5 linked regions of the Xenopus tropicalis genome follow. The protein of the gene in region 5 purifies or fractionates together with the protein of the main gene of each other region. This does not show direct contact. Links are inferred from orthologs where the notes say so. Each region holds a gene or a part of one and is shown on either strand. Other genes may lie near its edges. The genes, in order: rad9a, atr, cdc45, timeless and clspn.

Region 1 (6,587 bases), on a different chromosome or scaffold from region 5:
TTTTCCGAAAAAATCGCAAAATACCGTTCATTACGAAAAAAAAGCAATCGGACGCATTCGGCCCGTTCGTGGGTAAGTAAATGTGCCCCTAGATGTCAGGTCCTTTGACAATCGGGTAAGAAGTGGGTGTCCCCTTGGCTTGTCGCCTAGGGGGTTGGGGACTCACTGCATGGTGGAAAAAGCCGTTGGTGCACTAAGGAAGCCCTTAAATGCGAAGCATGCAGGCACTTACAGCATTTTTCTGCCAGCATGTGTACTGTGACATGCTGTCTGCCTGCACATGTAATTTTTGGGGAAATTAGCTATGGTAGGCAGGTATGCAGAAGAGACAGGGACACAACATGTGACATCACGTTTTTCCTCAAAACATGTTTATGCTGGGAGGAGTTTACCCCAAATAAACTTAACTGTCAGTTCATCAAACATGGTTATGATTTGTCCCTGCTTTGGGGCTCTCACCTTCCAGGGTAACTTTCACATTGGAACCTTTTGTCCCGGGGCTTCTCACCATCCCCAATGACCTTCACACAACCAAAGTGCCTCTCACACTCGTGAACACTCTGGGCTATTCACTCAGCCCTGCAGTCTCTCCCCTCCTGGGATACCAGCTCAACAGCTTCTGGCACAATTAGACTTCTCACCAAGCCTCAACATTCCAGCACTTAAACTCATGGTCACGGCTCCTTGCAGTGGCAGGCAGCACCCCCAGCCCCTCTGGGAGTTCCTCATACAGTCAGGCAACCTTCCTGTCCTGTGCCCTGCTCTGAGATACATTTCTCTGTGACTCCTTACTTGGTTACTGCTCCCTCTGCTCCTTGCAGTTGCAGGTGGCACCCTCAGCTCCTCTGGTAGTTCCTAACACAGGCAGGCAACCTTCCTGCCCTGTGCCCTGATCTGAGAGTGAACCCCTCTGAGTCCCCCAACCTTAATCACCAGTCACCTATCACCCCCCTTGCCGTGTAATCCCACAGCTCTTTTATGTGTTGCTCACCTGCAGCCTAATCGGGCAGCTTCTTACAGCTGGCCAAATCAAAATGCTAAATTGGAGTATGGAATGGAGGACCTATTCTATTAACCCTCCATTTACTCCAGGACTCACCTATCCGGCTTTTTTTTTTACTCTGCTTGCATGAATACAGCATTAGCTGCTGCTAAACCAGGCATTTTCCCTGGTGCTACCTGTATCTCACCTTTAACAATGGTGGAAAATACACCAAACAGTGCTCTTACTGCTTGTATCTCTCACAGTACCCACAATCAAAACCATACCTTGGAGGCACACACAGACTGACCCAACCTATCCCCCCCATTCCTGACAAATAGAAGGTCTACCCCCCTCATTGTCCTAACCCCAAAGACACAAACATACCTAGAGGTGCCTCACTTTCCCACAGTCAGGTATACAAGTTATACAACTAGGGACACATACACTGCAAGGCATACACATACCTAAGATACATAAATAATGTCTTACTTACACACCTCCACCCCCCCATTTATAACTACAGACCTCACCTGCTGCCACAGCCCACTCACATCATAGGTAGGTCTAGTTTCCCTACACACTGCTCTAGAGTCAAATACCCCCACAGACATAAACCTACCACAGCTCATGTAATCTCACCACACACTGTACCTCCCCCACTAGCACATCTAAATACTTATGCCACCCATATTACTAACACAATCTCCCCTCAATATTCTGGGTAAAAAAAAAAAGCACAACCGAAATTTTAAGCAAATGTAGGGACCCATAGGGTTAAATGCCCTATGGAGTGATATCCCTACCTCTTCACATAGATCCCTTGTTACTGGAAGCCTTTGTAACAGTTTATAGTTATGCCTATACTTTATTGGCCCATATGGTTGTCCACACTCCTTGCAGCCTCATATAATGTCTAGCAAGGAGGTGTGGCTGCCTGTCTGCTTCCCAACAACAGCTCCATTGAGCCTGGGTGCAGACATAGGCCCCAGTAAGCCATATTCTTTGAAGTAAAGTCGGGGACAGGGCCCCGTGAACGAGGTAAAGTTAGTCTCAGGACTAGACTCTGTCATAGCACACTCTAGGGGGCTGATTTACTAATCCACGAATTCGAATGGGAAAAATTCGGATTGGAAACGAACATTTTGCGACTTTTTCGTATATTTTGCCTTCCACTTAGCGAAGGCCACCCCTTTGAAATAGAGTCCCAATGTGCCCCATGCTCTAACCATAGCCTGGCATTTAAAGTGCTTTTTAGCCAAAAAGGGGTTACATACACAAAACCTCCCCCAAAATTATCTAACATGCCAAAAACATAAGCACACTCCAAAACTCTTCCCCATAGTTTAAAATTGTGCAACACGTCAACCCAGCTGGAAAAAAAAAATCAATAACCACCCTTCAAAAAAATGCACACCCCCAAAACTCATCAGCACCCTTACCCCAAAAAATACAAGCACTCCACATATAAGCAGGCTCCAACAACCCCCTAAAATTAAGGGCACACACCTTACATAGAATAGATCCACAGCCTCCACTGAACATCAAGTGTCCCAGTATTCAGGCAACTGAATAAACTCCTACATTTAATTCTGTCCCAAGAAAAAAATAATGCTACCCAGCGCAACCCAATACTCAATAGCGCACTGTGACACTACTTTTAATGAGCCATTCTCTCCATAGCATCCCCGAGTAACCACCTATAATCTATTTACACAGGCATTTGAAGAAGGCGCTGAATGTTACGTGTTGGAGACGTCGCCACGTCTTCACGTGTTTGTGACGTCACTCACGGCCACAGGAACTAGATATATAAATGGCTTTTGGAAACCGTTTAAGACCGAGTCGGGACTGAGGGCTGAGTTAAGAGAAGCGGACCTGTCCAGCTAAAAGCGGGACTATTGGGCGGTATGTGAGCGGGGCCGACCTTTAAAATTAGTTGATAGTATATCCTTTTTCTGAAAAGGAGAACGTTTAGACTAAAGCGTAAGATGGTACAACTCGTTACTTTAAGACCAAAAACCTCCAAATAAGTTGTCTTGAATATGCCTTTGGATCAGCACGAACGTACATGCAGTCGTCATTTAGAGGCATTAATGCTTAACAATTTTAATTGGCTAGTTGTTAAAATTTGACCTACACGAATGCATTAATCCATAGAAATGCATATTATGGGTCTCTACTGAACTGGTAACAATACTTTCAAATACGCATTATGACTATTTTTTTAATTTTTTTTTTTTAAGCTGTAGTGCAAGAGGAAGTTCTCTAAATGAAGATTGAAGGGGTTCTCCTTTCAAAAACTTGTTTTGCTTATAGAAAGGTAATGCAATTCTAATTAACTGTCCAATATACTTTATTTACAAACTTTCAGTAGTTTTAAAGTGATTTGTTAATGTAATATCTAAAAAGCTTTATTTGTCTTGCTTACATTCTCTGCACTCCTGGCTTTGATTTTGGAGCAATAATACAAGGCAGCTGGATAAAAATACCTAGAGGAGACCTGACCCTGTAACATTGTTTTAAGAGTAAAGGTGGCCATACACGCACCAATAATATCGTACGAAACCTCGTTTCGTACGATATTCGGTGCGTGTATGGTATGTCGGCGAGTCGACCGATATCGCAGGAAGCTGCTGATATCGGCCGACTCGCCGATCGGACCAGTTTGAAAATTTTGATTGGGCGCCATAGAAGGCGCCTGACCAAAATCTCCCTTCAGCGCTGAATCAGCAGAAGGAGCAGAAGGAGGTAGAAATCCTATTGTTTCTACCTCCTTACCGATGGTTGCACGAAACATCGTCAGATTGCCACGTGTATGGCCAGCTTAAGACCCAGACAATAGAAAGGGATAGAGAATTACTGCTTTTATTTGCAATTCCATGTACAGGTAATATAGTGTAAGGTGCATAGATAGGGAAGAAACTTTGTGATGTTACATGTCTCTGTGTATTGAAATTGAATAAATGGGCTTAAAGGAAAAAGAAAGTCAAAGTCACTTGGGGGTGCCAAAATGTTAGGCACCCCCAAGTGACTTTGACCACCTACATTTTACCCCGGGCTGGTGCCCCTGTGAGGAGGGAACAGCACCAGCCCGGGGTAGCTGCCGGCGCTTGCCTCTGCCTGATTCGCTGCGCGTGCATGCGCAGTAGAGTGAAAAGCCGAACTTAAACTTTAAAGTCGGCTTTTCACTCTACTGCGCATTCGCCCACCGCTGGCATTCCAGAAACGGAAGCCGGAATAAGGAAACGATCCGCTCCAGGTGCCCCGGGCTGGTGCTATTTTCTCCTAACAGGGGCACCAGCCCGGGGTACGAGGTAAGCGGTTAAAGTCACTTGGGGTGCCTAACATTTTGGCACCCCCAAGTGATTTTACCTTTCGTTTCCCTTTAAATGAGAAGGAAAGGCTAATAGTTAATTTCAAGCTGCAGGCATACCTTCAGTTTTCTCAATAGTGCCTTTAAGTCCCCCCATATTTCTCCTGTTCAGATGATCAGAAACCTCATAGGAAAAAAAAAATCTAAGCTTTGAAAAGAAAGTTCCCATAATTCCTCACTCCTGGACCGAGACCATTGTACATGCTCAGTTTGTAAGACGATGAGGAAGTTTCCTACTGATTGGCTCAGATCACACATTTCTAAGAGGGGGGGGGGGAAGTGAGTTCTTAGCATTCTTGAGGGAGGGGGAGAGAGCTGCATGTCTCTGGCACAGGAAAACAAAGACAACAAATCCTGTTTCTTTTGAGAGAACTCAGTGCAGTGTTTTTATAGACCTTTCCCTTTCTGATAAATACTTTCAGCTTAAAGGAGACATATTGGAAACATTGAAAAAACCCCAATTTTGTAGGCAATTATGAATAATATATGGTGCTGATTTCACTTTTGGCTAAATTGAACACTGTCAAAAATGGCCCCTTTATTGGAGCTCCCTATAGATCATCTCAGGTCTCTGTCAGGACATGCCCACCTTTCATTTGAAATGATGTGATGTGCAGTGTCATTTTTTCATCTGACCAAGCTTCAACATGTTTTTTCTTTAGCAGTGGTGTCTTGCGCGTTGAGCCTGCAAAGAGGCCATGTTGGTTGAGTGCATTACTTATTGTTTTTTTTAAACAACTGTACAAGGTGTTTCTGAAGCTCTCCATGAGTGATCCTTGGCTCTTGGACAATTTTTCTGATTATTCTTTTGATTACTCTGTCAGAAATATTGGGAGGAACACCTGGTCGTGCCCTTTTAATGTGAAATGATGTTCTTTCCTCTTCCGGGTTATGGCCCCAACTGTGCTCACTGGAACATTCAGAAGCTTAGAAATACATCTATAACTAATGCCATCAGTATGTATTGCAACAATAAGGTTGCAAAGGTCTTGAGAGAGCTCTTTGCTATTACCCATCATGAGATGCTTCTTGTGTGATACCTTGGTAATGAGAAACCATTTATTAGGACTAAGCCAGCTGAAATTATTTTGCACTGATAGGGGGCAGGATTGCTTTCAAAATACTGACAAATGTCAGCAGGTTTCTTTGCTTTCCATGCCTCTTCTTCATGTGTTCAATACTTATTCCCTGTGTCATTCCACTTTATTACACATAACTTAATTTAAAGACTTATTTGTTTTGATTTCTTTGTATGTGTGGATTTCTTGGGTTGTTACCAATATCTGGTGTAAATTTCATGTCAATAGCCCCTTTTGAAATATATTTACTGTGAAAAATGTTGATGTGTGCAATACTTCTTTTCCCTGCTGAATGTGCATCATGGGCTGTTCGATGGGGTTGGACTTGAGCAACTTTTTTTTTTTTTCCCTAACCCCTATTAACTATGAAACGTCCAATATATAGTAACACTGAGGGGCAGATTTATCATAGTGTGAAATTAGATCTCGTCACAGAAACACTCCATTTCATTCATGGGATTTTTAGAAGTGTATTTATCAATAGGTGAAAGATCTATTTGATAAATAATTTTGATTGATAAGCTTTTAAAACAAACCTTCCTTTCCTTGTTTTACTCACCAAAAAAAAAAAAAAGCCGCACAGGTATTAATTATAAAAGTGCCTCTCAGTAAATTCACTCTTTACTTATAATAATTCAATAGGCTTAACCCTTTAAGTGCCAGCCGAATTCGTCATTTCAGTTCCCCCCAGTGCCAGACGTTTTGTAAACATTCTGTGCTCTCTCAATGTAGGGGCTTTTACTGGGGGCAGGGTTAAGTTTAGGTAGGCAAACTATATATTGTTTTTTTCAGGAGAACCTGAGCTTTCCAAATCTACCTGAGTTTTTGTGTATTTCCACTTCTGGAACAAGATTTAGAGCTTGAAATACAAAAAAAAAAAAGAAAAAATGCTATTTTTCATGATATAAGGATTTATACCAGAAACACATTTTATTTTATGGACAAATATTCAACTGATTTGGAAAGCCTCATGTCTCCCGAACGTGCCAATACCTGATATGTATAGTTTTATTGAGATTTCTGACTTCTATAGATCAAAAACTCCCAGCAGTAAATTACTAAATTTTAAAAGCATTACAGCAGAATACGGCATACTTTACATTCCAAAGCCAAAAATCCTGGAATATTAGGTTTACCCCAGGAAACCATA
Region 2 (6,114 bases), on a different chromosome or scaffold from region 5:
ACACAATATGGACACATTAAGGACACATTACTGCTACAAAAGTGGATGGGGTGTACAGATGTAGGCGTGGCCAGATTTTCCATGCAGTGCAGACTCACCTGATCATGTGTTCCTAGGGTTCACACTGAAAATCTGATTATGATATATAGATAGATAATATATATGTGTAAATATATATATATATATATATATATATATATATATATATATATATATGCTTTGCATTTTCTACAAAAATCCTTGTTCCTCCTCTTATTTCCTCTTATTTCTAATTTATTTCATTCAGCAACTTAATTTTTACAATCTGCTCCACAGTATGCTTATGTTTGTCATTGTCTGTATAACTTTTTCTTTTAACAGTACTTGGTTTTCCCCCTTCATGAAGCATTAAGAGTAGAAAGTTTGGCATACATGCAGCAGCAAAGCATGCAGCCCTTAAGCACAGACTCAGAGGGTGGTGGGAGCAGCAGCAGCGATGAAGTTCAGGAGAAGCGACCACGTCTAAGCCTAACTGCAAAACCCCTGAGGAGGAACATACCATCAACGTAATGATTTTACTTAATACAAGACCTTATGAGACCTATGTTCTGTCTGCAATTTGAAAGCAATTCTGTGAAGTTTAAGATTATAATTTAGTACAATTTCTCTATAGAGTGTATCTTACTCCTCACAAAAAAGCTAAAATATACCAGGGTGCATCAGATATGTGTCCTAAATGTTCAAACAATGTGGGTACTTACTACCGTGTTTTTTGGGAGTGCCCCCTGATACGGGCTTTCTGGAGGGAAGTGTTGGCATACAAAGAAAGTACACTATATTTTCCGAACATTCTTTCCCCCAATTTGTGTCTTCTGGGGGTTGTGGGAACGCTATCTTAAGGTGGCCATACACGTAGCGACTTCGATGGTCGCATGAAAGATCGTTTCCACCCTCCACTGACGTTCAGGGCTGAATCATCCAATATGGAGGTAGAAACAATAGAAATTCTACCTTCTTTAATTGAAGGCGCCCGATCAAAATCTTTTAGCCCACCCAATCGATGAGACAACCTATATCCACAGCCTTTTGCGATATAGGTCGCCTCGACAAGCCCGCCATAAATGTACCGAATATCGTACGAAATATCCAATACAATATCATCGATGCGTGTATGGCCAGCTTAACCTATGTGCAACTATACAATGTACTGAACACCAGTGCTTTTAGTTACTTCCTTGTCCATCTTGAAGCTCCTTCCCCCTTTTGCTTTCTTAGCACTCCTTCTCTCTCTGATTATAAAGACTTCAAATAGGTGCCTACTGGGCATGCTCACTGCCTCTGCTCCAATTAAAATCATACGGGAATGCCACACCTTTTTGGGGTCATCATAGTCGGAGAGAGAAGGAATGCCCAGAAAGCAAAAGAGGACAGAGTTTCATGCTAGACAAGGAAGTAAGTAAAAGAACTGCTGTTAAGTTTGTAACAGAAACAAAAGCAGGGAGAATGGTATGTTATTCTGGGGGCTGTAAAAAGTAATTTTAGAGATTTAAAAAAAAAAAAAAATGGTTTACTTATTCTTTAATGAACAGCTAATTTTGTTGCTGAAAAAGAATAAAAAGAAAAGTGTGTGTGTGTATGTGTATATATATATATATATATATATATATATATATATATATATATATATATATATATATATATATATATATATATATATATATATATATATATAATATGGTGTGGCTCTGCCCAAGGTTAAAATAGCCTCATTTGGAGGAATATGAGGTAATATGAACAATACAATATTTGAAATGTTTACTTGAAAAGCAAAAGGCTGGCCAGCCTGCTAATATCTTATTATCAATATCACACCAATAAATATTAAAAACTATACAAAGTAACCACCAATCTATCCATAGATAACACCATAAATGCATTCAAATGTGCCTCAAAAAGCAGTACAATCTCATCAATAAACAAAGTTACAAAAAAAAAAAAACCTCTGCTTATATGAAAAAACAGAATAGACAGAAAATAGTTGCAAATTAATAATATGGTTATCCTTATAAAGTAATACATCTGAAAGGTGTAAATATGTAAACAGACAGCAACTGATATTAATAAGTTGTGATAAGCTAATTTGTCCCGTTTCGCCATAAAATTTGCGAAATGCGCTTCGCCAATGGCGAAATGCGGAAATTCATTGCGAATCCATGCCTGGCGAAAAAATTCGCTCATCACTATAAATAAGCAATGTAAATGATCAGTGTTCAAAGTCAATATTTTTCTTGATGATAGACCTGCACCTGTGGATATGAAGACAAAGAGCATGCTTTGGAAAGCAGTGAGTGCAAAACTCTCCTCTCTTTTATGCAAATTGGAAGGCGATGAGGTTTCAGAAGAAGAGATGGTTTCTTTATTGGAGGGTGTCAATACAACTATATGTGTTGCTGCTCTCAGTATAGTTCATATCTTCGCTAAAAATTCAACACAGTAAGTGTATGTGTATGTGCTTGCATTTGATGTTTTCATGCTACTACTATGATAAGCTGTCATCTGGTAGTATTTATAATGTTTTACAGAATAATAATACAGAAAGTTAGTTGCTTTATACTGGTACAGTGACTAATAAATGATACTCAATGATATTAACATTTAATATTTAGTACAAACGTAAATGTTCTATCTGCAGGGTGTGATAACTCCAGCTCCTGCAATGTACGTTCGGTGCAGCTCGGTGCCTCACACTAAATTACAGTTTACCTCTGTAGGCTGGATTTACCTGACACTGAGAATTTAGTACATACATATTTATTATTGCAAGAAGTGTCTGCAATATATTTATTGCATGCATTTATTACAGTAAGATAAAGGCAGCCCTCTTCTATCTTCATACTTTACATTGCAGCCTCTCTGTGCTTCTTTCTTGAATGTAATATTAAAGGAGTTGTTTGCCTTTGTACAACGTTCACGAATGTAACAGTTCACATTAATAGAACAATCTTAGCCATATACAAAGTTAACAAAAATGTGCAGCTGAAGAGAATCATCCCTTTGCTGATCCTTTAAGTCTACGCAGACACTACAGTCACCTTTTTACTTCCTTTTATGATGTAACGCATAGTACTGGCAGCAGACTTAACTCCTATTGGCTGTGTCTCCTGTCAGTCTGTGCCTGTGACAGTGCTGTAAATCTAACATAACAGTATGTTAGATTTGTAATATGCTGAGTCTGTTTATCTGTGTCATTGCAAGGGAGAAATTAGCCAATGGCCTTTTAATTTATGCAACTGGTTAGAGTACAGAAGCAACCAATGAATTGGTCCAATAGGAAAAAAGTACGGCAAAGCCTGGATGTGATGATGTAAGCAAATAGGAAGTTCTTATTGCATCAGGTTCAAAATAGGCCATTCTTATCCCTTCAGAAAACTGAGCAGAGAGACAGGAGCAGGACTGATTTAACAGGTATAAAATGTAGCTTTTACAGTGGCATTTTCTAACATGCTGAGATCATTGTTGGTGGTTTAATAAGATTTAAACATTGAAGGTGAACAACCCCTTTAAGCCCTTTACTCCAGTTTTGGGCCATTGAAATTGCTGAGGTTCTTTAAGTAGTTTAGGGTTAGGTCTGTCCTTTTGTCCCTAGTTACAAATTATTTGAAACTCTTAATGTTTTGTTGTCCTGTGTAATCCTGCTTTGTACTATTTTGTGTTCACAGCACTAATCAGTCAGTATCTGACTTGAGCAATACTTCTGGCATTCAGTTGGTAGAAATGGTACCTCAGGTTTCCTGGGTCAGTCCAGAGGATATACTAAAAATACTTAAAATTTGCAGAAAGATTCTTGATTCTGCACACCAGCGAGCCAGTATAAATGACATTCTGATGAAGATAATCAAAATATTTGATGCAATACTCTACATTCATGGTAAGCAGTAATATTGATTTTTTGTTGTTTATAGACATGTGGATATAGACGGGGATTTTCGGAGACATATGCTATTGGTATAAAAAGGCACACTTTATTATAGTGTCTATTTGCATAACAATAAGCAGAATTGCATATATAAGAACAATAAAAAAACAACACCACGAGCCAAAATACTTCATGATCACTTTATAGGGGAATTAAACACAAACAATTAATATGGCTATAAATGCAGTATTCTCTATACTTAGCTTATTGCACCAGCCTAAAGGTTCAGCATCTCTGTAACAGGCCAGACCTTTAATATTGTCACAGGAGCTCCCCATCTTGGGAATGTGTCACTTGTGTCATTGTGTAGTTGTATTTATTCCCTTGAGCCACCCATCCTTTGTTAATACTTTTGTGTATAGTTACTGCTAATTTGGATGTCACTGAAGCACCTTTTGGGCTAGTAGCTCTCTGTGTTTTGAAACAATTTGCAGTTGGTGTTCATTTTTAATTTTTTGTGGTTTTTGATAAATTTATCTTCTCCAGTTTGGAATTATGGTTGTTAGCATTCAGTTACCCTAGCAACCAAGCAGGGAAAATGAAAAGCAGAGAGCCCAAATAATAAAAAGTAAGTGTAACCCGGTGTAAAGCCAAACCGAGCCTTTTGTAGGTTGCCAGTCCACATAGGGGCTACCAAATATCCAATTATAGCTCTTATTTGCAACCCCCAGGGACTTTTTTCATGCAAGTGTTGCTCCCCAACACTTTTTTCATTTGAATGTAGCTCACGGGTATAAAAAGTTGGATATCCCTGCCTTAAAGGGACAGTATACCACCCTTTTTTAACATGAGCTCAATTATAGCACTTGTACTTAACATACTTCTTGCCTATTGTTTTAATTCCGAAATTCCTATGGTTTCTTTTCCTGTCACTTTCTGATCTCATGAAGGTAGGGGTTTGTTTGTTTAAAAGTAGGTGGGAGCTCTGAACAAACTACCCAGTTTATATAGGAAGGGGGAATTGAGTTCAGTGAACTTAGCCCAACTTTCAATTTTGTGCTCTGTAAAGGCAAAACATAGGAAAATTGATTTGTTCAACTTAAAACGATAGGCAGAATGTATTTTCATCACAATCCTATTTAATGTGCTAATTTTCCTTTTTCTTTGTGATATTAAAATAGTGCCTTATACTTGATCCCAGCTAAGATATAATTAATCATTATTAGAAGCAAAACAATCCGATTGGGGTTTTTTAAATGCTTAAATCATTTCTTAACACAATAAATATGACGTGTTGAAATTACATTATGTTTTAATTAAAAAAAAATCCTATTTCTTTTGCCATTATAAAGCTTTAATTTGAAAGTTGGGCTATTTTCACTGACCTTAACCCCCCCCCCCCCTTCCTTTTTTAAACAGAGCAATTTGTTCAGAGCTCCTTATCTGCCTTTGAACAAGCAACCTCCCTAAGGGCAGTGGTACTTGGGGAAATTAGCCGCCCGCAACAAATCTCCCTTGTTGCGGGTGACTAATCTCCCTGATATGCAGTCCCACCGGCTTGACTGTAAATCGCCGGTGAGATGGCATATGCGGCACCGTGATTTCCCAAAATCGTGGAAGTTTCCTCTCAAGGCAACTTCCATGATTTCAGGAAATCGCAGCGCCGCATATGCCTTCCCACCAGCGATTTACAGTCAAACCAGTGGAATGGCATATCGGGGGGATTAGTCGTCTGCGACTAATCTCCCTGTCTACCACGGCCTTAAGAAGCAGCCTTTAAGCAGCTCATTATTAGGGGTTTCTCAGTGGACTGGTGATTAGTTTTATCAGTTGCTTTGAAGTTCATTTTATCAGTAAGTGACAGGAACTAGTAAAGTGAAACTGGCTTTGTATTCTTGTTTAGTGCCAAAAATAACGTAAACCATAGATATTTCTTTATTAAAACAATAGGCAAAAAGTATGTTCAGCACAAGCCCAATTCAATAAGCTCATTTTGAAAGGGGTGTATACTGTCCCTATAAGCCCTAGCAAGTACATAGGTATTAGGGTGAAGACCCACAGAGCTTCTAGTTGCAGCTACTTTTTCTCGGCCACTAATCTCCAGAAAATTCCCTGTCATAGACAATACTGAGAATTGTCTCTGTTAAAACACACCTAGAGACAATTATGATCAGCATTGTCTATTTTAGTAGCCGTGACAAGTAGCTGCTACTAGTAGC
Region 3 (6,114 bases), on a different chromosome or scaffold from region 5:
ATTCAAGCTGTAAAAAAGGAGAAAAGGCACAGGTTACATAGCAGATAACAGATAAGTTCTGTAGAATACAATAGTGTTTTATCTGTTATCTGCTATGTGCCTGTGCCTTTTCTCCTTTGAATGGCTGCCCCCATGGCTACATAGCAGCTTATTTATATAAATTATAGTAGTCTTTCTAAAGTAAACACACAACTTTTACCAGTGCAGGGCAGCAGCACATTATATTTTAGTTACTTTTATACACTTTCATTTTTTGGTGTTACTGTTCCTTTAACTCAAACTGCCCTATCACCTTGGCTGATATCATAACATCGGGCAGTGTGCTCTAGAAACACTATCCCATCAAAGATGAAGACCAGGTTTCTAGAGCCCAGCTGCTGGACAGTGATAACCTGCACTTGAAGTAGTGAGCCATTTTTTGGGCCAAACCAGCTCTTTAAAGTCATGTGATTTTAATAACCATTTAGTTTAGGGGAATTAAAAAATCTGCAAACAGTGCTAGGATAATCCAAAATCCTGGATTTGGTGCATGCCTCTCCTTAATGCATTAAAGGTACCTGCCATTTAAAAATCTAGCACCAAAAAAGCATAAAATATGTAGTCTTAGCACTTTAAATATAGGCTGAAAACTGTTGATTTTTCTTAGTGAACTGGTAGACTATTTAGCATTTTTAAGAAATTTAAAAATGTCTAAAAAGTAGTTTTGTTTTTTTTTTCTCATTTTAAGTGTATGCTGGCCAAATTACCCACCAAGTAAACCCATCATTTGATACACCCTGGGTGTACTAGTAAAGGGCAAACAAGTGCAAGATCATTTGTATTATACGACTAGTCACAAATGTTTAAAGTATTCTGGATGCATGGACATTAATTGATGTTTTAGGAGTTTTCTTTAAAGGACATGTAAACCCCACGCACAAACAGCCTCTTAGAAATCTTTTTTTAATACCTGTCACACTGGTTGTCCAGAGGTTAATAGAAAGGCTGCAGCATCCCATTAATCACTTAGATTTCCTTCTCCTCCTGTAACCCACTCAGCCCCCTCCCTCAGAGATTTGCTTTGACTTCTGGCTTGTGGGCATGCTCAGTTGTTCTAAGCTCCGATTACCAAACACGCTCTCCAGTCTAGCAGCCAATGAAGAGATGGCATTTCTGGGTCCCATAGAAGCTCAGGTCTAGCTGTCTGCTTCAATGTTTTTCTTCTAACCTCCTGTCCTGAGCTCAGCTTAAACAAAGCAGAACTTTTATCGAAGACAGTTCTGCCTGTGTGAGCCTGTATTCTTTATGAAATGTATGCTGAATTCGGGTCTGTGTGTGTATGTTTGCAGATATAAATGTATTTGATTATGTATCAGGAAAAATGGCCACTGGGTGAAAGCTGCTATTTGCTTTAGAAAAAATGTAATTGTGCTGATAAACAGAGGGGGATATATGCAGTGCAAATTATGCCATTTGGGTGGGGGAAGACGTGCCCACCTGATATATATTGTAGGCAAATGTAGGCTTTACATGTCCTTTAAGAATCTGTATACAACTAAATTGCCCCCTCCCTCATCTGCTATGTTGGACTGTTTTAACAATCAAAACAAATCCGGTGTAAGCAAAGCCTTAAATGGGAACTCCATTTTAAAAGTATATGTACATTTTAATATTGAAGCAATATGCCTTTTTATATTTTTTTCTGACTTATAAGAACTTAAAATAAAAATAAATTAAATAAAATCTTGATCTCCTTACAGACAAAGCATCAGTTCCCATAGTGTAATGCAACAATGCATTGTGGGAGTTGGTGTCTTAGCTGGAGGAACGGTGACTTGCTGCATTGTTTAAACTCTAGGGACAAGAACAAAACTTTTAGACAGATGATGCGTGCAATATCATTTAATTTAATTGGATAGCTGCTAAAAATAATTAACTATATAAGGCTGCACAATGACGCTGAAACCCCCTCATGTAAACAGAGATATGATTTTTGTATTAAATGTCTTCTCTGATAGCTTAACCAGTGTTAATCTTTTTTGTGCACAGGCATTATTTCAGTGTGATCATGTACAGTATACCTTGGTCCCAGTCTCTGGCTGGCAGGAACTTGAAACATTGTTTCTTGAACATAAAGAACAGGTAATCTGTCATTCTTGTACTGTTTCTTTTCCAATTCTCATTTTATAGCATATGTAACCTCACCAGTGCTAGGTGTCTAGTTTGGCTGCATCTTATATCTGTTATACAGTCTGCAATTTTATTACCCATCACCTTCTTTCCAGATAAGGCCAGAGGTGATTTTAGTTGCAGGGGCAACTAGCTGTACATCCGCTTTCAGCATCATTCAACTTACGGCAGAAGTTTATAAATATAATATCAGTAACTGTGGTTTAGCTTTGATGCTCCTTCTTAAATGGCCAGTGGCACGTTCAAATAAAAATTCCCTGAATGCAGTTATACAATGATGTTTATTTCAAGCATTATCATTCATCTCATGCATTATGTAGGGGATCTAATTGCTTAAAATGGGATGGCTTAGCTACAGGAATGTAGCTAAAAGGAGTGAAGAAAAGCTTTCTAGTACTAGTTCTTAAAGGGGTTGTTCACCTTTGAATTCACTTTTAGTATGATGTAGAGAGGGAGATTCTGAGAATTTGCAATTGGTTTGCTTTTTTTAGAATGTTTAATTTGTTCTGCATCTCTCTAGTTTGGAATTTTAGCTGTTATCTGGTTGCTAGGGTCCAAATTGCCTTGGCAACCAGGGGTTTACTAAGGTAGAGTTGCAGTGAGAGACTAGAATATGAATAAGAGAAATGGTCTGAATAGAAAGATAAGTAATAAAAAGTAACAATAAAATTGTAGCCTCACAGAGCAATAGTTTTTTGGCCCCCATTTTAAAGCTGGAAAGAGTCTGAAGAAGAAGGCAAATAATTAAAAAAAAAAAAAAAAAAAAAAAAAATCTGTACAAACTAAATAATGAAGACCAATTGTTGCCATTCTGCCACATATTCAAAGTTAACATAAAGGTGAGCAACCACTTTAAGTTGCTGTATGTGCATTCTTATTTAATCAGTGAAAAGTTCAGGACGTCTGTAACATTTTAGAGGTTACTCACCTGGGCAAGAGCACTTTGTATACTGCCTTCCCAGTCCTAGTTTATTGTGTTTTTTTTTTTTTTTTTTTTGTTTTCCTGGCAGTGCTAATTCTGCCTGTATAATTTTTCCCCATTGTGTAATTACAGTTCCGTTACTTTGTTCTCATAAACTGTGGTGCAAACATAGACCTTCTAGAGACTCTACAGCCCCAAGAAGAGGCTATCTTTTACATATGTGACACTCACAGACCAATAGATGTGGTTAATATATACAATGATAGTCAGGTATGTAGTCTACAGAGTGATACTGGAAATCTTTCAGAAGTAGAAACACTGATCTGCTTATTTAATAAAAATTACCATTAAATTTAAAGATCAAGTTGCTGATCCGGCAGGATGATGACTTGGAAATACCTGCTTATGATGACATTTTCAATGATGATGAAGATGAGGAGGATGGGGATGATTCTGGAAATGAAAGTGATGGAGCAGAACCTTCTGGAAAGAGGAGGCGATTTGATGAGGTATATGTCTGTAATGTGTTATGTGCAAACACAGTTTATCTTAGCAGTTAAGGAATTTTGGTGAATTCTCAGTAACAAAATTTTAATTTGATATATAAGTGTAGCTTTTGTAACCCATTGTTAATTCTTGGTCCAGTTAAGCCATATTTTGTCAGTCTGCCTTGATTTCAAGTTTTGCTTGAAAAGCCTTACTAACATATACTGTTCAACCTTCTGTATTTAGGCAGCAGTGGAACGAAGGATAGAGAGGAGACGCCAGAGGAGGGAGTGGGAGGCTCGAAGGTAGTACCAAAAAGTTGTGCATCTTTTTTTAAATTTGTGCAGGTTTTTTGGTAATTCCATACGATATATCAAGTTGTCTGTAATTTTTGACCAAGAAAGCTATTATGTTTACCTTTTTTCATAGTACAGTCTGAGACAAAATAATGTTGTTGCACATGCAAATAAGATAATTGGGCTTATTTGCTATTAGAACTGGCTTGCAGTTGGCATTGGGTCAGGGCTGTCTGCAGGCTAGTCAGGTTCTTCTACTTCATTCTTAGAAAACCAGTTCTGCATGGACCTCCCTACGCATAGGGTGGCATTACTATGCTGAAACTAAGTGCTTTCCTGACTGTTGCCACAAATTAGTGAGCACATAATTTTTAAGAATGTCATTGTATTCTTTTTATTGTTTAGTACTAGGTCCCCTGGTTTTAATAAGCAAACTTTAACCCTACAGTGTACAATAACATTGACAATTCTGTGCTTCCTGCTTTGTGACACTCTTATAAGGTCTCTGCTTCTTACTCTGACAGCAATTTAGGGAAGGCTTTCTTTTTTTTGTACACAATAATTTCCCTATGTACAAAGCAATGAACATTGGGTCTGATTAAGCAGTGGAAGAAATTGACAGGCAGGTGTCTTAACCATGACCATGTAAGGCTTGCTTCAGGGCCGGATTTGTCTTCTGGGTGCCCCGTGGCCGCTCCTGTTGGTGGCCCCCCGCGCGCGCCAGCCGCGAGTGTGCATGCACTCCTTTAAACTTCCATACGGAGCAGTGGGGAGAGGTCCCGACTGCTCCGTATGGGAGCCAAATTTAAAAATTTTGTTGCGGCAGGGCGGCCCCTAAAACCCCTAAACTTTTGCTGCCCTAGGCCCGGGCCTTTGTGGCCTCTCCACAAATCCGGGCCTGGCTTGCTTGGGTGCTTTGTTCCACAAGGAACTGGCAAATTTTATTTGTCATTTTATGGCAGAAAGGTAGTGATTGAAAAGGCAATGTAAGAGTAACAAACTGTAGCCTTAAACTTGAATAATTGAAGCAAGTGAAACTTTACTCATAAGCCTGTCCTGAAGTAATTTTTTTTTAAAAATTACCATTACCTGGAATCCAACACTAATATAGCTTATGCTACATAAACCAAATCTGTGGCTTACTGAGGCTTGACTTGACAATAGCCAACCACTGTATAAGGTAACAGGAACACCACTGAGTATGTTGCATTTGAGTAAGCTTTAAGCTTCCCCCTTTAGTTACATTTGTATTATAGAATCAATCTATACTTGTTTTTTGATTACTGTTGACAGACTAGGCATTTAGCTGTCCCTTGTTTCTTTGCAGGAGAGAGATTCTTTTTGACTATGAGCAGTATGAATATCATGGAACATCAGTAAGTAGTAAAGCTGGTTATGCACTTCCATTATAGAAAGAAATTTATATATAATCTATATATCTTGCCAGCACTAATGCTTAATTTAACTTTCCTTTTTGGAATTAATTGGCATCTTTGGACTATAATGACTTTTTATTATAATTTGAAATTTTTAATTCCTATCATCCTGATATACCACTTTGGCACCTGAAACCATTGCTCATGTTTTGTTGTATTTATGATAACTAATTATTTCTTTTGTTTGTATAGTCTGCAATGATGATGTTTGAGTTGGCTTGGATTATGTCTAAGGATTCAAATGATATGTTATGGTAGGTATGCATTAGTTAGTATAATGAGGTATTACATTGTAGATTAAGCGTTTTTTTGTATCTGAATTATGTATTTTCCAGATAAAAGGAGAATGTTTATTTTCTTTTGCAGGTGGGCAATTGTTGGGCTGACAGACCAGTGGGTTCAGGACCGAATAACTCAGTATGTTAAACTGCTTTTATACTACTTTTGAAGAAATTGTGCTATTGTGTTGGCAAAAATTCAGTACTGTCATTAAGGCTAGCATTTTACAAGGGGACGTGTTATGGAAAACATTTGGATTCACAAAGAGCCATTCTCATGAGTGGCCAGTGTGCTTTGTGTTATTTCAGTGGAGATATTCAGACTTAAGCTTTGTTTTTTTTTTTGTTTTTTTTTTTTAATTTAAGCACTACATTGCAGTTATTTGCTTCTTATCCTGACTTCTACATATTGGCTCTTAAGGGGGTCCCATAGTCTGCAGAGTGCAGTCCCCTGAATTTATAGTTTTGCCACCACTATTTTACTTGAGGACAGAACTTATTTTAAGGTTGTACTTTTTTTCCCCACT
Region 4 (6,114 bases), about 57 Mb from region 5:
GAAATATAATGAAGAATGTGACTGCAAAACGCTCCAAGGCTAGAATAATTGAGAAGCTTATCAGCATGGGTCTAGTATGCGATCGCAAAGAACTTTATAAGAAAAGAAGGAAGAAGGGGAAATCATCTGGCATGGTACTGTCAAATGACTTCTATTTCCTATTACATTCACACAATCATCAGGCGCCATGTAGCTTCCCTTGAATTGAAGCAGGAAAGTAGTACCTGGATGAAGCTCAGACCTTCGTAGTACATAGATCATTTATGGACGTTTGTAGAACATAGATCCTTGCACAGAGTGCACATTGAGTTGCTTCTTGCCCTAGAGTAGGTAGCTCCCCTGCCCCAGCATAAACATCCATTAAGTCCATGTAATCCCCCAGTCAGCCTGGGGGAAGAAGAATCTGAATGATATTAATGCTATTGCACACATGGCTGTACTTATAGTAGTAATTCTAACCGCCAAGCTCCTTATTGTGACAAAAGCAGCATAGTGAGCATATAAGGAAGGGAGTGCTGTTATTTCTGGTAGATTATTTCACAAGTTTGCAGTTCAACATATATATTTTGTGGGGAGACAAAACTTTTTGTTATTCAAGTACTCCCAACTGCAGGAAACCTGTGGCCTAAAAAAATGCTGTCTCAGAAAAATGTATGCCACACCATTGCTACCACACCCCCTGTGGCATTCTGTTTGTCCTTAGTGAAACAGACATGCCAGTATAGATAATAAGCACTACATTATGCCCAGATATGCCAGCAAGATCTCTGAAGGAAATTGATTCAGAGCACTGCATAACCCAAGACATGCTAGTAAGGTCACTGCTGAAAATGAATTCTGAGCATTGCATTTACTTCATATATTCCATTAACGCACTATTGAAAATGAGTGTTGCACACTGAACTAATGCTTGACATCACAGAAACTTCACTGTAGAAAGTAGGTATTCAGCAGGATGATCCCTGTAGGAATGGATAAAGATTACTTCTTTCAAAAGCATTAATTCTAGATATGCCATGAAAATCACTTTCAAAAAATGTATAAGCACTACATTAACCTGTTAAACGCCAGTATAATTACACCAGTTATGCCAGAGGGATCACCGTTGATGTGGTTAACAAGCACTGTACTTACAGTCTGTGCATAAAATGGATTGTCACTGAATTTAACCCAACATATGCCATTATAATAATTTCTGAAAGCAAATCATTAGTGGAATCCTCACCTGTGCTCCCCCCTTAACACCCCCCCCCCCCCCCCCACTAGAATAGGAGAGAGTCAAAATTGACGGATACAACAAAATGCAACAGACATAAGAGAATTCCTTCCAAATTGTAATATTCCTGCAGTGGAGGGGGGGCTGACACCGTTAACTTGCCATTCTGCTAGACCTTCCCCATCTCTCTTCATTGCTGCTGATCAAATTAATAATCAGAACCAATATAGGTTATAAGGGGAATTATGATAAAATGTGGGAGTATTTGATTCTTTAGCATGCTTCATGTCAGATGAAGAGATTTCTAAAACAAAACAAAGAAAATATTTAGTATAATATATGAATATACTTGTGTGTCTTTTTTTCAGTCTGAAGAAGAGTTTCTCAATGATCTGGGGTTTGATGGAAAACACAGTGTGGATGATGTGGAAGAAGAGGAGGAGGAGGAAGAAGAAGAAGCAAGTGAAGAAGAAGAAGAGTGTGAAGACCTTAACTATAAACAAATTGCAAAAGAGCAAACAGGTGGCAGAATGGATCCATTTACCGATAAGAATATAAAGCATTTGGTGCACAAGTTACAGCAGGAAGGTGAATGTCCGCTCATATGCCAAATGTAAAATACATATGGAGCATCTGATTCAGTAAAGAGTAATTTATTGGAATGTTAATGGTTAAGACACAGTTATATAAAATGTATAATTTTATTTATTTATTTGTATTCCTTTTTTTTTCACTTGTTTTCCCCTCTTGAATTCACAGGTTTATCTGGTCCTCTTTTGTGGCTTCAAAACTGTTTAAACCGCACTGCCGAAGACAGAGAAGAGGATGGTGGGTAACTGCTGCTCCAGAACACTGTATTGTGACTTAAAGGGTTGGTTCACCTTCAAGTTAACTTTTAGTATGTTATACAATGGACAATTCTAATCAACTTTTCAATTGGTCTTCATTATTTATTTCTTTGATTTTAAATTATTTGCTTTGTTCTTATGACTCTTTCCAACTTTCAATTGGGGGTTACTGACCCCAGCAGCCAAAAAACTATTGGTCTGTGAGGCTACAATTTTATTGTTATTGGCACTTTCTATAACTTATTTTTCGATACAGGTCCTCTCCTATACCAGGCTCTCATTCAAACCACTCCTTGGTTGCTAAGGTAATTTGGACCCTAGCAACCAGATAGCTGCAAAAACTCTAAACTGAAGAGCTGCTGAACAAAAAGTGAAATAACAAAAACTACAACTAATAAAAAATGAAGGGCAATAGCAAATTATCTCAATATATTACACTCTACTATCATACTAAAAGTTGACTCAAAGGTGAACAACCCCTTTAAAACGCTATCTTAGCTATTTTAAATGCTGTTGATAAAGACATTTAATTCTTATAAATGAGCAAATAGTGCAGGCATCCCTCCAAGGTAATTTACCGGGCCACTGCAGTGTCCTCACCCCTGGCAGCGGGATGCAGTGGAGCTGGGAGAGGAAGGACGGAGCGGGAGCACGCAGGAGTGGGCCGTAGTTTGACCCCGCATCGAGAAGCAGGCAGCGAGAGTGGGCTGTAGTTTGAGGACGTGGGGGGCCGGGCTGTAGTTTGAGGACTATAGTCAGGCCCCCCAACAGTCTGAGGGACCATAAACTGGTCCCCTGTTTAAAATGTTTGATTATGCCTGATTTAATGCTTCAGTTTGAAAAGCAAAATTTTGCATTTGTGGAATATCTCAAGGAAAAACAGTTTTTGAGTATCAAGAGGCCCTTGTGAGATACAAGACTAGTGTGTATCTGCCCCCTACCATTGAGCCCTAGGCATGTGCCTCTCCTGCACCCCTAGTTCCTGACCTGCTGGTCTGTATTTGGGAACTGCCTTGGCTGTGTTTTAAAACCTAGTGACTATGATTTAGCCTATAGGCTAATGCATATCAATGAAAGTTTTAGGAGCAAAATTTGGTTTCCTTCCCAGAAGTCACTTTGCTGTGGTACTTTAATGTTTTGCTTTCATGTGCATGTACACCCGGACCCAATGTCAAGGGGTGAGCTTTACTGATTGTTGCTTGTTTTGTAACTGCCAGGCTCTTCTCAGGCAATTCCCCTTGTGCCTTTAACGGAAGACAATGAGGATGCTATGGAAAATAAAACATTCAAGAAACTGCTGAAGAAGTTGGGCATCCGTGCGCCTGCAAATGAGCAGGTAACCATCCATGGATTAAAATGTATATATGAGAAAGCCATTAGAATGATTGTGGGATTTGTTTTTTTTCTGTCCCTTCTCTATAATCCCTGCTTCTATAAAAATATGAGATTGCTCTATTTCCTTATTTATGGTTTGGGGTGAGGACCTTATCTAGTGTGGTAAAAATACATCCTTAGCATTTTATGTTGGGTTTAAAGCCTTATACAACTATATATCTGTGGATGTCCATTACTCTCTGTGCATGTTTATACTTTATATAGTGCTGTATTTATGCACCTTTGGCTTTGAAGTATGCTATTAGGACCCTGTTGTATCAAAGCTTTCTCGAGGCTAGAGCAAATGGTTAGAAACCAATTTTCTTTGAAAAGTTTATTTAGCAGGAAGTCCAAAAATTTTCTTTTTGTGTTTATTCTCCAATGAAGAGGTCAGTGGGTATTTGAACACATATAATGTTGAACTCCTATTTCCGTCAAAGCCACCTGCTCCAGTGACAGTATTTTACCTTCATTTACATTCATAGGAATCTTTCTGGCGCATCCCAGGTAAATTAAGTCCGGAACAGCTGCGCAAGGCAGCCTCCTGTCTTGTTCCCTTGGCTGCAGCAGTTGCCTGTGAGGTTCTTGCAAATGCTGAAGAACAAGAGGTAAATGTTGAGCAGAGGGCAGAAGCACTTCGTGCACTTTTACTTGCACGGAAAAAGAAATCATCAGAAGCTCAGCAAGGTAAACAAATAGAGGTTGCTTCAATAATTTACATGTTTGGCCTTTAAGGACAAGTCAACCCAAAATATAATTTTTTTTGCCCAATAAAATAAAACATAATTCTAAGCAACTTTGCAATATACATTTTTTTTTTTACAAATTTGCAATGGTTATTGACTTTGTATTTGTATATATAATTGCTATTATAAGTAGTAGTGTTTGCCAGTCCCTAAAGGTAACAGTCAGGAGTTCAGCAAATGCTGCTTTCTATAGCAATTACATTTTTAAAAAAATTTAGCGGTTTAAAAGTTATTTGTATTAATTTCACATTGGAAAGTTGCTTAGAATTATGTTTTCTTTTATTAGGCAAAAACATTTTTGGTTTACATGTCCTTTAAGGCCTGTAGCATCTAAGACATGTAAGTAATATATTAATATAGCAGTAGTTAACTAGTGCTTCTCCTTTTAGACCTTCAAGAAGAAAATCAGAAATCCCCAGATAAGTCATTACAATCCCAAAGCAAAACCAGAAGGTAAGTAACATAAATTATGTGAATTATTGCTATTTTAATACTCTAATTTTTCATCATATGTCATAGCTATTTCTAAGTAGAAAATTGTAACAATGGTGGCATATTCTATTCATATAAATAACAATTTAATTAAAGTATATATAAACCCCCCACACAAAAATGTAATCAGTGTACAGCCTCAAGGAAATCTTTAAATAACTGCCACTCTGGTTGTTAATAGTAAGGTTGCAGCATCCCCATAATTACTTGGGATTCCTTCTCTGACCCACTCTGCCCCCTCCCTTTAGAACTGACTTTGGCTCTTGGCTACTGAACATGCTCAGTTCTTCTAAGCTGAGGTTACTAAACACGCCCTCCAGTCTAGCAGCCAATAAAGAAATAGCACTGCTGGTTCCCATAGAATCTCTGCTCTAGCTGTCTGCTCCTATCTTTTTCTCCTAACCTTGTCTCCTGAACTCAGCTTAACCATTACATGGCTCAATCAAAGCAGAACTTTTTATAAGCCTGCATGCATCACTGCATAAACTTTACAGCGCACATGTGCTGTTTGCAGATGTAAATGGTACTGATGATGTCAGAGGGATAATGGCAGCCTGGTGAAAGCTATTTGTTTTATGAAAATGTGATGGCATTGGTGAACGGAGGGGAATAAATGCAGTACAAATTATGCTTTTGGGTGGGGTATATGTATCCAACTTATATAGATGGTAGGAAAATTTAGGGTTTATATGTCATTAAGGGCATAAAGAAACTTGGCTTTCAAATGAATTTGTTTATTTCATTTAATAGACCAAAGACAGCAAAGAAGAGAAGTAAAATGGTTGACAGTGATGAAGAGAATTCTGTAGACAATACTAATGGTTTGTGACATTTAAATGTGGCACTTAATATATCAAACTTACTGTAAATATTCATTTTCTGTTATTCCACAAGCTTACTTTAATAAAGACACTTCATATTTCAGAGAACAAGGAGTCAGAGCAGCTGCCAATGGATGCCATAACAGAGAGAGAAACCAAACCGAATAGGTAAGAGGTGCGCTATGCGTTGTAAGGGAGAACCCCCAGTCTGTTGAGCCAGGAGTGTTAAAGGGTGCCTTCAAGTTTTAGTGCAGAACTGGCAATACAAAGGCAAAGCCCTGTAATGATGTAGCACAAGAATAACAGGCTTAATGTCCCTAAAAAGGGATGGGAAATGATACACCAATACAAAGTGTAGTAGGAAAAAGACATAATTTACATAAATTCCTATCCCTATGTTTCTCATAAATCATTTTAAACACTATAATAAAAATACAGATAAATTTAGGCCACACAGGTCATTGCTCTGTGTCTAAAGTTATTTTTTCATAATATCATAATTTCATAATCATATAGCATAGCATATCATTTCATGATAGTATTTGCCTCTATATAGTAGACTTCTCAGCAGACACCGCTGCAAACTAACAGATTTATGTTTTTAAATAGACCAAAGA
Region 5 (6,637 bases):
ATAGAAAAGGTCAGCTTTGACACTTTCTGCAACTGTGATGTCATTCTTCTTTTTGTACAGGTCCAAAATACAGAAATACAATTTCCTGTAGTCTTTTTAAGTATGTAGTATATGACTGTAACTAAGCTGCACCCCCTGGAGCTCTCTCACTCACTCTCTTTGTCTCTCTATAAGGGCTCTGGCACACGGGGAGATTAGTCGCCCGCAACAAATCTCCCTGTTTGCGGGCGACTAATCTCCCCGGATTGCCATCCCACCGGCGATTTAACTGAAATCGCGCCGCCGCGTATGCCATCCCACCGGCGATTTATATTTTCGCCGGTGGGATGGCAATCCAGGGAGATTAGTCGCCCGCGAACAGGGAGATTTGTCGCGGGCGACTAATCTCCCCGTGTGCCAGAGCACCAACTCACTAAGGCTTCCCTGTATTATGGGGGTTTGTGTGACATGTATTGCATATTGTGTTACTGGAATCAGCCTGGATACACAATCTCCCACTATTTCCCAAGATGCAATAGGTTCCCCAGACTAGGGGATGTTGTTCCTTTCACTGATTTTAGTGAATTTGGAGAATCTTTCCCTAAAATGGGCTTTGCAGATGCCTTTACTCTTAGCACTAGTAGGGAGACACAGAACCAGAGTTTGGCAGTTATGCAGGGCTGCCAGCAAATATACACTTTTTTCCCAATGGGACCTCATTAAAAGGTAACATTTAACTTTGATGCGTTTTCTCCTCAGGCTCCCTTGAAATCTTCCTTTTTCCCAAATAACCAGTAGTTCTTACTAACTCTCACTTCCTTTTATTGTGTTAAAAAGGTTGGCTTTACAGGATCATGCATCTAAATAGCAAGTTTAGCTTTATACAAGTATATGATTTGAAACATGATACTAATGTTAAAAGTTATATAACATGTTGTGGATATGCCTTCAATTGATCTTTATTTGCAGGATTCACCAGGAATGAACTTTTTTGGGACACATATATACAATGTTTGGACTATAACTTGGACTTATATTGATTTATTACATATTCATAAATGGTTGGGTTTTTGTTGTATTTAAAAAGTGGATTGTATAATCACTGGCTATCACCTGACAAAAGGGCACGCCCTCCAAAACATTGTATGTTCTTTTTGGCATAATAAAACTTGGGGGGTAGTCCCCTACAGGAAGCCTTTGTGTGCCAGGATTTCTATTTATTTATATATTTATACATACCAGGGAGGGCCATCTCCCTTATTGCCGAGCAGCAAGGAGAAAAATCAGAGACCTGGGTGTGCATGTAAAAATTTGGTTACTTGCAACATTTGGGGAACCCATGTGTCAGATCATCAAATACTTCATTTTTGTTCCCAGTAGTGACAGGCTTCTTAGAGTTAGTCCCCTTCAGGAAGACCTTCTGCAATTTGTTTTGGGTTATGTAAAGTTTGCTTAGTTTTGTCTGTGATCACTTGTTCTAACTCTAATGTTTTTAATTTGTATTGCCAGTAGATCTATTTTGTTTCTTTTGTAATAACTATTTATTTTCAATTTTCTAAGTCCTATTTCCATGTTTATCAAATCTAATTGATGAAGCTCTCCTTTTATCTTTGTGATTTGTTTTGTAAGTTTTTTGGATGGGGAATTTTTTTTGATGTTTGTAACTGTGCTAGTTGCTGTTCAAGGGCTGATCTTTTTTGTGTATTGTGTTTCATTTGTCTGGTAGCCATTTGGATACATAATCCTCTGATGGTCTCCCACTTAGTGGAGGCTTGGGATTTTTCCTGTTTGCGCCCCAGTGTGGCCCTGGATATCAGTGCCAAGAAAGGGTTACACATACATAACACATACATGTATTATGGCCATCCACATACAAAGAAAAAAATAAAAAGTAGTAAAACACCACTTTCAGCACTAGGCAGATACTGAAGTTCCTCTCACTTCTGGAACTGTTAATACCCAATTAAAGTGCTTCTAAATAAGAAATTAATCAGAGTTTTCTAAAATATCTAAGACTGCAAAGTTCAAGCGTCATCCTAAATAGTCTTTAAGCTTAGTTCCTCCAGGGGTATCCGCCCGACAGTTCGCTACCAACTTTTAAAGGGCATCTTTCTGGGGCACAGGGGATGAATCTTGAATCGGTGACTTTCCAAACCAGGTCTCCAGGCGGCGCAATCATTGAGTTTGGGAGGCGGAAACCAAGTTGCTGGTGCACGTTCTAAAATGAGGAAATAGATGGAGAACGAGGCTTTGAACGCATACAGAAAATAACACGTCACTGTTGTGGGTGACAGTCATTGGATGGCTTTTTTTCTGCTCAACCCACACGTACAGGGCGCGAATTCTGAGGCGGCAGCTGGGAAGATTGGCGGGAGCTGTCAGCAGATAGCACCATGGCCGCGCTTTGTGAAGAAGAGCAGGTGAGGCGAACTACTCTATATAGGCAGCACTGGTAGTCATCTTGGAATAAATACTTGGCTTCTTACCGTTTGGCTATACCTGCGTTGGATTAGACCAGTCGGGTAGAACAACAAAGGCAATCGTGTTCACTTGCACAGACTATAGATATACCTATGTATAAGGGACGGGCTGACTAAATCACCGCAAAGCTCATGAAAAAACAAAAACCAGGTGTGAAAACCAAAACGCCATCTCTGGTTTTGGGCTGCATTTAAAATTAACATTTGTCGTGCGTGTGCACCGATAATACCTGGTATATCTAATAATACGCTCTTTATGTATTTGTGTTTCTTCCGTTTTGTTTAGGATAATATAGCCGTGTCTACGAGACTTATACATGAATGTAAATGTGTTTTAGGGTTCGAGTAAGTGTTGGCAAAAAGCTTATTGGCCAGTGCCCCTCTAGGCCCCCAGCAACTGCAGGGTCTGCTCTCTTTATAGTTACTCCCTTGTTTAGATTGTTCATCTGCAGTCCTGTGCTTATGGTGCAACCCATGTGTAGGAGTGCAGGGCTGCAGGCAAATATGTTCTGCAAATTCTAAGGTTTATAACTAACTTAAGGGGCATAATCTTAATAGAGAGAAGTATAACTCATTATACTGTTTAACTTGTCTTGTGTTATTGGATGTTTACATTTCTAAATCTGGAGTCTGAGCCTATTTTAGTAAATAGAATACAATAAATGTAATAGATATTAATACAATATATGAATGTTTGGGACCTTGGGTTTCCCTGATAAGCAGGTCCTTCAGTAATTTGGATCTCTATATCTTAAGTCTACTGAAAAAAACATTTAAATATTAATTAAATCCAATAGGATTGTTTTGCCTCCAATGGGTATTATTTATGTCTTAGTTGGAATCAAGTATATTGTACTGTTCTATTTATGCAGAAAAAGGAAATCATTCTAAAGAATAGAATTATTTTCTTATAATGAAGTCTATGGGGGATAGTCTTCCTGTAATTTGGGACTTTCTGGATAATGGATTTCTGGGTAATGGATCCAATGCTTGCATTAAATTATGATGTGGTTTGTTTAATAAACAAAGCTTTTCTTGCCTTTTTAGTGCTTAAGCCTGGGAAAGGACATAATGTGTATGTCCTCAGATGCCTTAAGAATATTTAAAAAAAAAAAGATATTGAAATATTGAATTTAGTGGGCTGGTGGGGGCGGTTTGGGCTTCTGTATACTTAAAATGCCAAGGCCTATTTTAAATGCCAGTCCAGGCCTGGTCCCCAGTGACATTTGCTTGGGGCTTGCATAAGGAAATTCTATAATCTATATTTGGATCCCTTACTGACCATACTGTTTGGGAACAAGGCATAAATAGAAAGCTGTGTAAAGAATAGCTGAAAAATAACAAGTTCTACTTTTTACCTTAAGGTGGTTGTTTACCTTTTCATTAACTTTATGATGTAGAGAGTTCTAATAAATAAATAAATAAATAAATATATATATATATATATATATATATATATATTATTAATTATAATTAATTCGTATTGGAGCCAAAACAATCCTATTGGGCTTAGTGTTTATAGAATTTTTTTTTTTTTTTTTTATGTATTCTTTATTTTTTGGTTTTTCAGCAGAAATGGGGTACAGAAAGAAAGAGGGGAATGGGGTAAGGACATTTATAATGGTCTGCATTTACAATCAGCTTTTGAAGTCAGGAGATAACACAAAGTTTTTTCTATTAATTGAAACACAGTTGGAGAAAGACATTTTATAGAATTTTTTTAGCAGACTTATGGTAGGAGATCTGAATTACGGAAAGACCCCTTATCCGGAAACCGCCAGGTCCCAAGCATTCTGGATAACTGGTCCCATACCTGTAGTTTAAATGTCTTTAATGTTCAATAATTTTACCTGGTGTTTTTTATTCTAAAACCTTTAACATTATTGTTTTAAATAGTTAGTTTTGGAACCAGAAGACAGCATCAGTCTGAAGATCTTGGAGACAGATTCTGACAGTGGTCAGGGCAGCTGTGAAATGGCTTCTGCTGATGATCAGAACAAAATATTGGATTGTATAGAGGACAGAGGTGTGTTGAAATAAAGTTATGCCTTCTGAAAGCAAGAATTTCCTTTAGACACAAGTGCCCCACAGATTGTAGCAGATAAGTTTTTGATCTTGATATAGCAGTCTTGATTTATAAGCGGTGATTAAACATTTAAAGGAGAAGGAAAGGCTAAGTCACTTGGCGGTGCCAAAATGTTAGGCACCCCCCAGTGACTTTAATCGCTTACCTTGTACCCCGGGCTGGTGCCCCTGTTAGGAGAAAACCAGCCTGGGGTACCTGTAGCGAGCGTTTCCTCCTTCCATGTTCACTCTGCCAGCAAAATCCATGGGCCGGCTCATGCGCTGTAGAGTGAAAAGCTGACTTTTTTGTGCGGCTTTTCACTCTACTGCGCATGCACAAGCGCGAACATGGAAGACGAGGCGCTCGCTGCAGGTACCCTGGGCTGGTGCGGTTTTCTCCGAACAGGGGTACAAGGTAAGAGTTTAAAGTCACTTGGGGGTTCCTGACATTTTGGCACACCCAAGTGACTTCTCCTTTTAAATCACATTGCATATTACAGTTATAAAAAAGGCATCATCTGTAAAGTCTGTATCATTGGTCTTCGACATGCTTAGTGCTTAGTAAAGTATGGACTCTGCTTAGATTATCATCTCTCAAATAATCCTTGTGTTAGTTAGATGTTTCAGCTGACTGTCTGCCCTGCAGAAGGTAGTGACTTTTTTTTTCTTTTCTTTTTTTAGGCCATTGTCTTGAGATTAAAACTATGTGAAAGTTGCTTTGTCCATACTTTGTCCATACATTTAACTTGATATTTGATTAAAAAGTTCATTTCAATAATATGCTATTTCCATCCTTTACCCAAACAGATACAGATGAAGAAGAATTCTTGGTGTGTAAAAAATCTAAAAGCAAGAAAATATTGGTGGAAAGTGACAGTGATGAAGAAATGGAAACAAGTAAAATTGCAGATAATGTGAAGGGGAACTCTAAAAATGATGAGGAGAACAATATTTCTGCTCATAGAGAAAAGCCACGAAGAATCCAGTCAGCTCTATTTGATAGTGACAACAGTGATAACGAGGTTGATGTTCAAATGAGTACACGTCAAAATACTATTGAGAGACCTGAGTCAGACCACGGTAGCTTGGAGAAAGAATCCCCTACAGTCAAGCATAAAACAAGCAAGTCCTTGAAGAAACAAGGTGACACCAATAAAGAGAAAAGAGTGAAAAATAAATCGAAGCACAAAATACAGAAAGAGGAGAAGGTTAAAAGGAGGACACAGCAAAAGTCAAAAGTACTACTTTTTAGATATACTAACCCTTCTTTATATTTTGTGTGAGAATTTTGAATTAAATAACATACCCAAGATAAGGACCAATACAAAACTAGCTGTTTATATGAGTATATAAACAAACTACTAGACCATTACTAAGGTGCTCTCAGAAATCATGCGTGTTGTTTGCTTTTTCATGTTTTGATTGCGTTAATGTTTCAAACCTCTATAGTGACTCCTAATATACATAACATACTATATGACCCCTGGGTTTCAGTGCAAAGACACCTTAAGGCTTCATGATACAGGTAAATCCTTGACAATTCTGTGCTTCCTATCTTGTGCAAAAGTTTTGGGAAGACACTTTCCTGTTTCAGCACAGTAATGCCCGCTTGCAAAGTGAGGTCCATACACAAGTGGGGCTAGAATGAATAGGAAGAACTTGACTGGCATGCACAGGACCCTTACTTCAAGCCAACTGACCCTTGTTCACTATTGGTGACCTTGGCCCTAAGTAGTGTATATACCTGTTAGTAGACCTTGTCTTGCATGCATTTCTGTCCATAACACTTCCGATGGACTTCTTAGTTTCTTAACCTTTTAAAAATTATGAAAGTATAAAAAAAAATGTCTATCTGCAGTACTTATTTCTTTTGGAAGAGAAATCATCCTATGCTATAGATAATTTTTGACTGTCTTTGTTTTTTTAGGCAGTGAAGGAGGATAGGCCAAATTTAAATGACAGTGGCTGCCTACTCAATGGAGATCTTTTTGAAAACGAAGTGGGAAGTGGGGTGGATTCTAATGAAGAAGAGGAATCTCTTGATGCTATCCGCACAAAAATAAAAGGAAAACTGAATAGTCATTCTGTAAGTATCAATGTGATTTTTGAGTATC

What was found.
Region 1: the proteins of clspn (region 5) and rad9a purify together in Homo sapiens (affinity purification with western blotting; 3 studies listed by BioGRID and IntAct, with this or other methods). This does not show direct contact. The link is inferred for Xenopus tropicalis from reciprocal best matches to the Homo sapiens genes CLSPN and RAD9A.
Region 2: the proteins of clspn (region 5) and atr purify together in Homo sapiens (affinity purification with western blotting; 3 studies listed by BioGRID). This does not show direct contact. The link is inferred for Xenopus tropicalis from reciprocal best matches to the Homo sapiens genes CLSPN and ATR.
Region 3: the proteins of clspn (region 5) and cdc45 purify together in Homo sapiens (affinity purification with western blotting; 4 studies listed by BioGRID and IntAct, with this or other methods). This does not show direct contact. The link is inferred for Xenopus tropicalis from reciprocal best matches to the Homo sapiens genes CLSPN and CDC45.
Region 4: the proteins of clspn (region 5) and timeless purify together in Homo sapiens (affinity purification with western blotting; 4 studies listed by BioGRID). This does not show direct contact. The link is inferred for Xenopus tropicalis from reciprocal best matches to the Homo sapiens genes CLSPN and TIMELESS.

What each region holds. Positions count from the first base shown.
Region 1 is NC_030683.2:57,496,905-57,503,491, forward strand, and holds the start of rad9a (cell cycle checkpoint control protein RAD9A), read left to right. Parts: upstream 1-2,849; 5' UTR 2,850-2,890; intron 2,891-3,228; 5' UTR 3,229-3,305; intron 3,306-6,587. UniProt on the Homo sapiens protein: Component of the 9-1-1 cell-cycle checkpoint response complex that plays a major role in DNA repair. The 9-1-1 complex is recruited to DNA lesion upon damage by the RAD17-replication factor C (RFC) clamp loader complex.
Region 2 is NC_030681.2:119,652,460-119,658,573, reverse strand, and holds part of atr (serine/threonine-protein kinase ATR), read left to right. Parts: intron 1-360; coding exon 361-545; intron 546-2,277; coding exon 2,278-2,472; intron 2,473-3,698; coding exon 3,699-3,907; intron 3,908-6,114. UniProt on the Homo sapiens protein: Serine/threonine protein kinase which activates checkpoint signaling upon genotoxic stresses such as ionizing radiation (IR), ultraviolet light (UV), or DNA replication stalling, thereby acting as a DNA damage sensor.
Region 3 is NC_030677.2:154,233,294-154,239,407, forward strand, and holds part of cdc45 (cell division control protein 45 homolog), read left to right. Parts: intron 1-2,028; coding exon 2,029-2,121; intron 2,122-3,223; coding exon 3,224-3,361; intron 3,362-3,450; coding exon 3,451-3,600; intron 3,601-3,823; coding exon 3,824-3,882; intron 3,883-5,200; coding exon 5,201-5,249; intron 5,250-5,501; coding exon 5,502-5,563; intron 5,564-5,675; coding exon 5,676-5,726; intron 5,727-6,114. UniProt on the Homo sapiens protein: Required for initiation of chromosomal DNA replication. Core component of CDC45-MCM-GINS (CMG) helicase, the molecular machine that unwinds template DNA during replication, and around which the replisome is built.
Region 4 is NC_030678.2:138,485,404-138,491,517, reverse strand, and holds part of timeless (protein timeless homolog), read left to right. Parts: coding exon 1-134; intron 135-1,584; coding exon 1,585-1,804; intron 1,805-1,975; coding exon 1,976-2,044; intron 2,045-3,281; coding exon 3,282-3,400; intron 3,401-3,923; coding exon 3,924-4,125; intron 4,126-4,573; coding exon 4,574-4,637; intron 4,638-5,426; coding exon 5,427-5,497; intron 5,498-5,601; coding exon 5,602-5,665; intron 5,666-6,106; coding exon 6,107-6,114. UniProt on the Homo sapiens protein: Plays an important role in the control of DNA replication, maintenance of replication fork stability, maintenance of genome stability throughout normal DNA replication, DNA repair and in the regulation of the circadian clock.
Region 5 is NC_030678.2:81,832,363-81,838,999, reverse strand, and holds the start of clspn (claspin), read left to right. Parts: upstream 1-2,236; 5' UTR 2,237-2,372; coding exon 2,373-2,399; intron 2,400-2,410; exon of another isoform or gene 2,411-2,610; intron 2,611-4,355; coding exon 4,356-4,485; intron 4,486-5,330; coding exon 5,331-5,761; intron 5,762-6,450; coding exon 6,451-6,609; intron 6,610-6,637.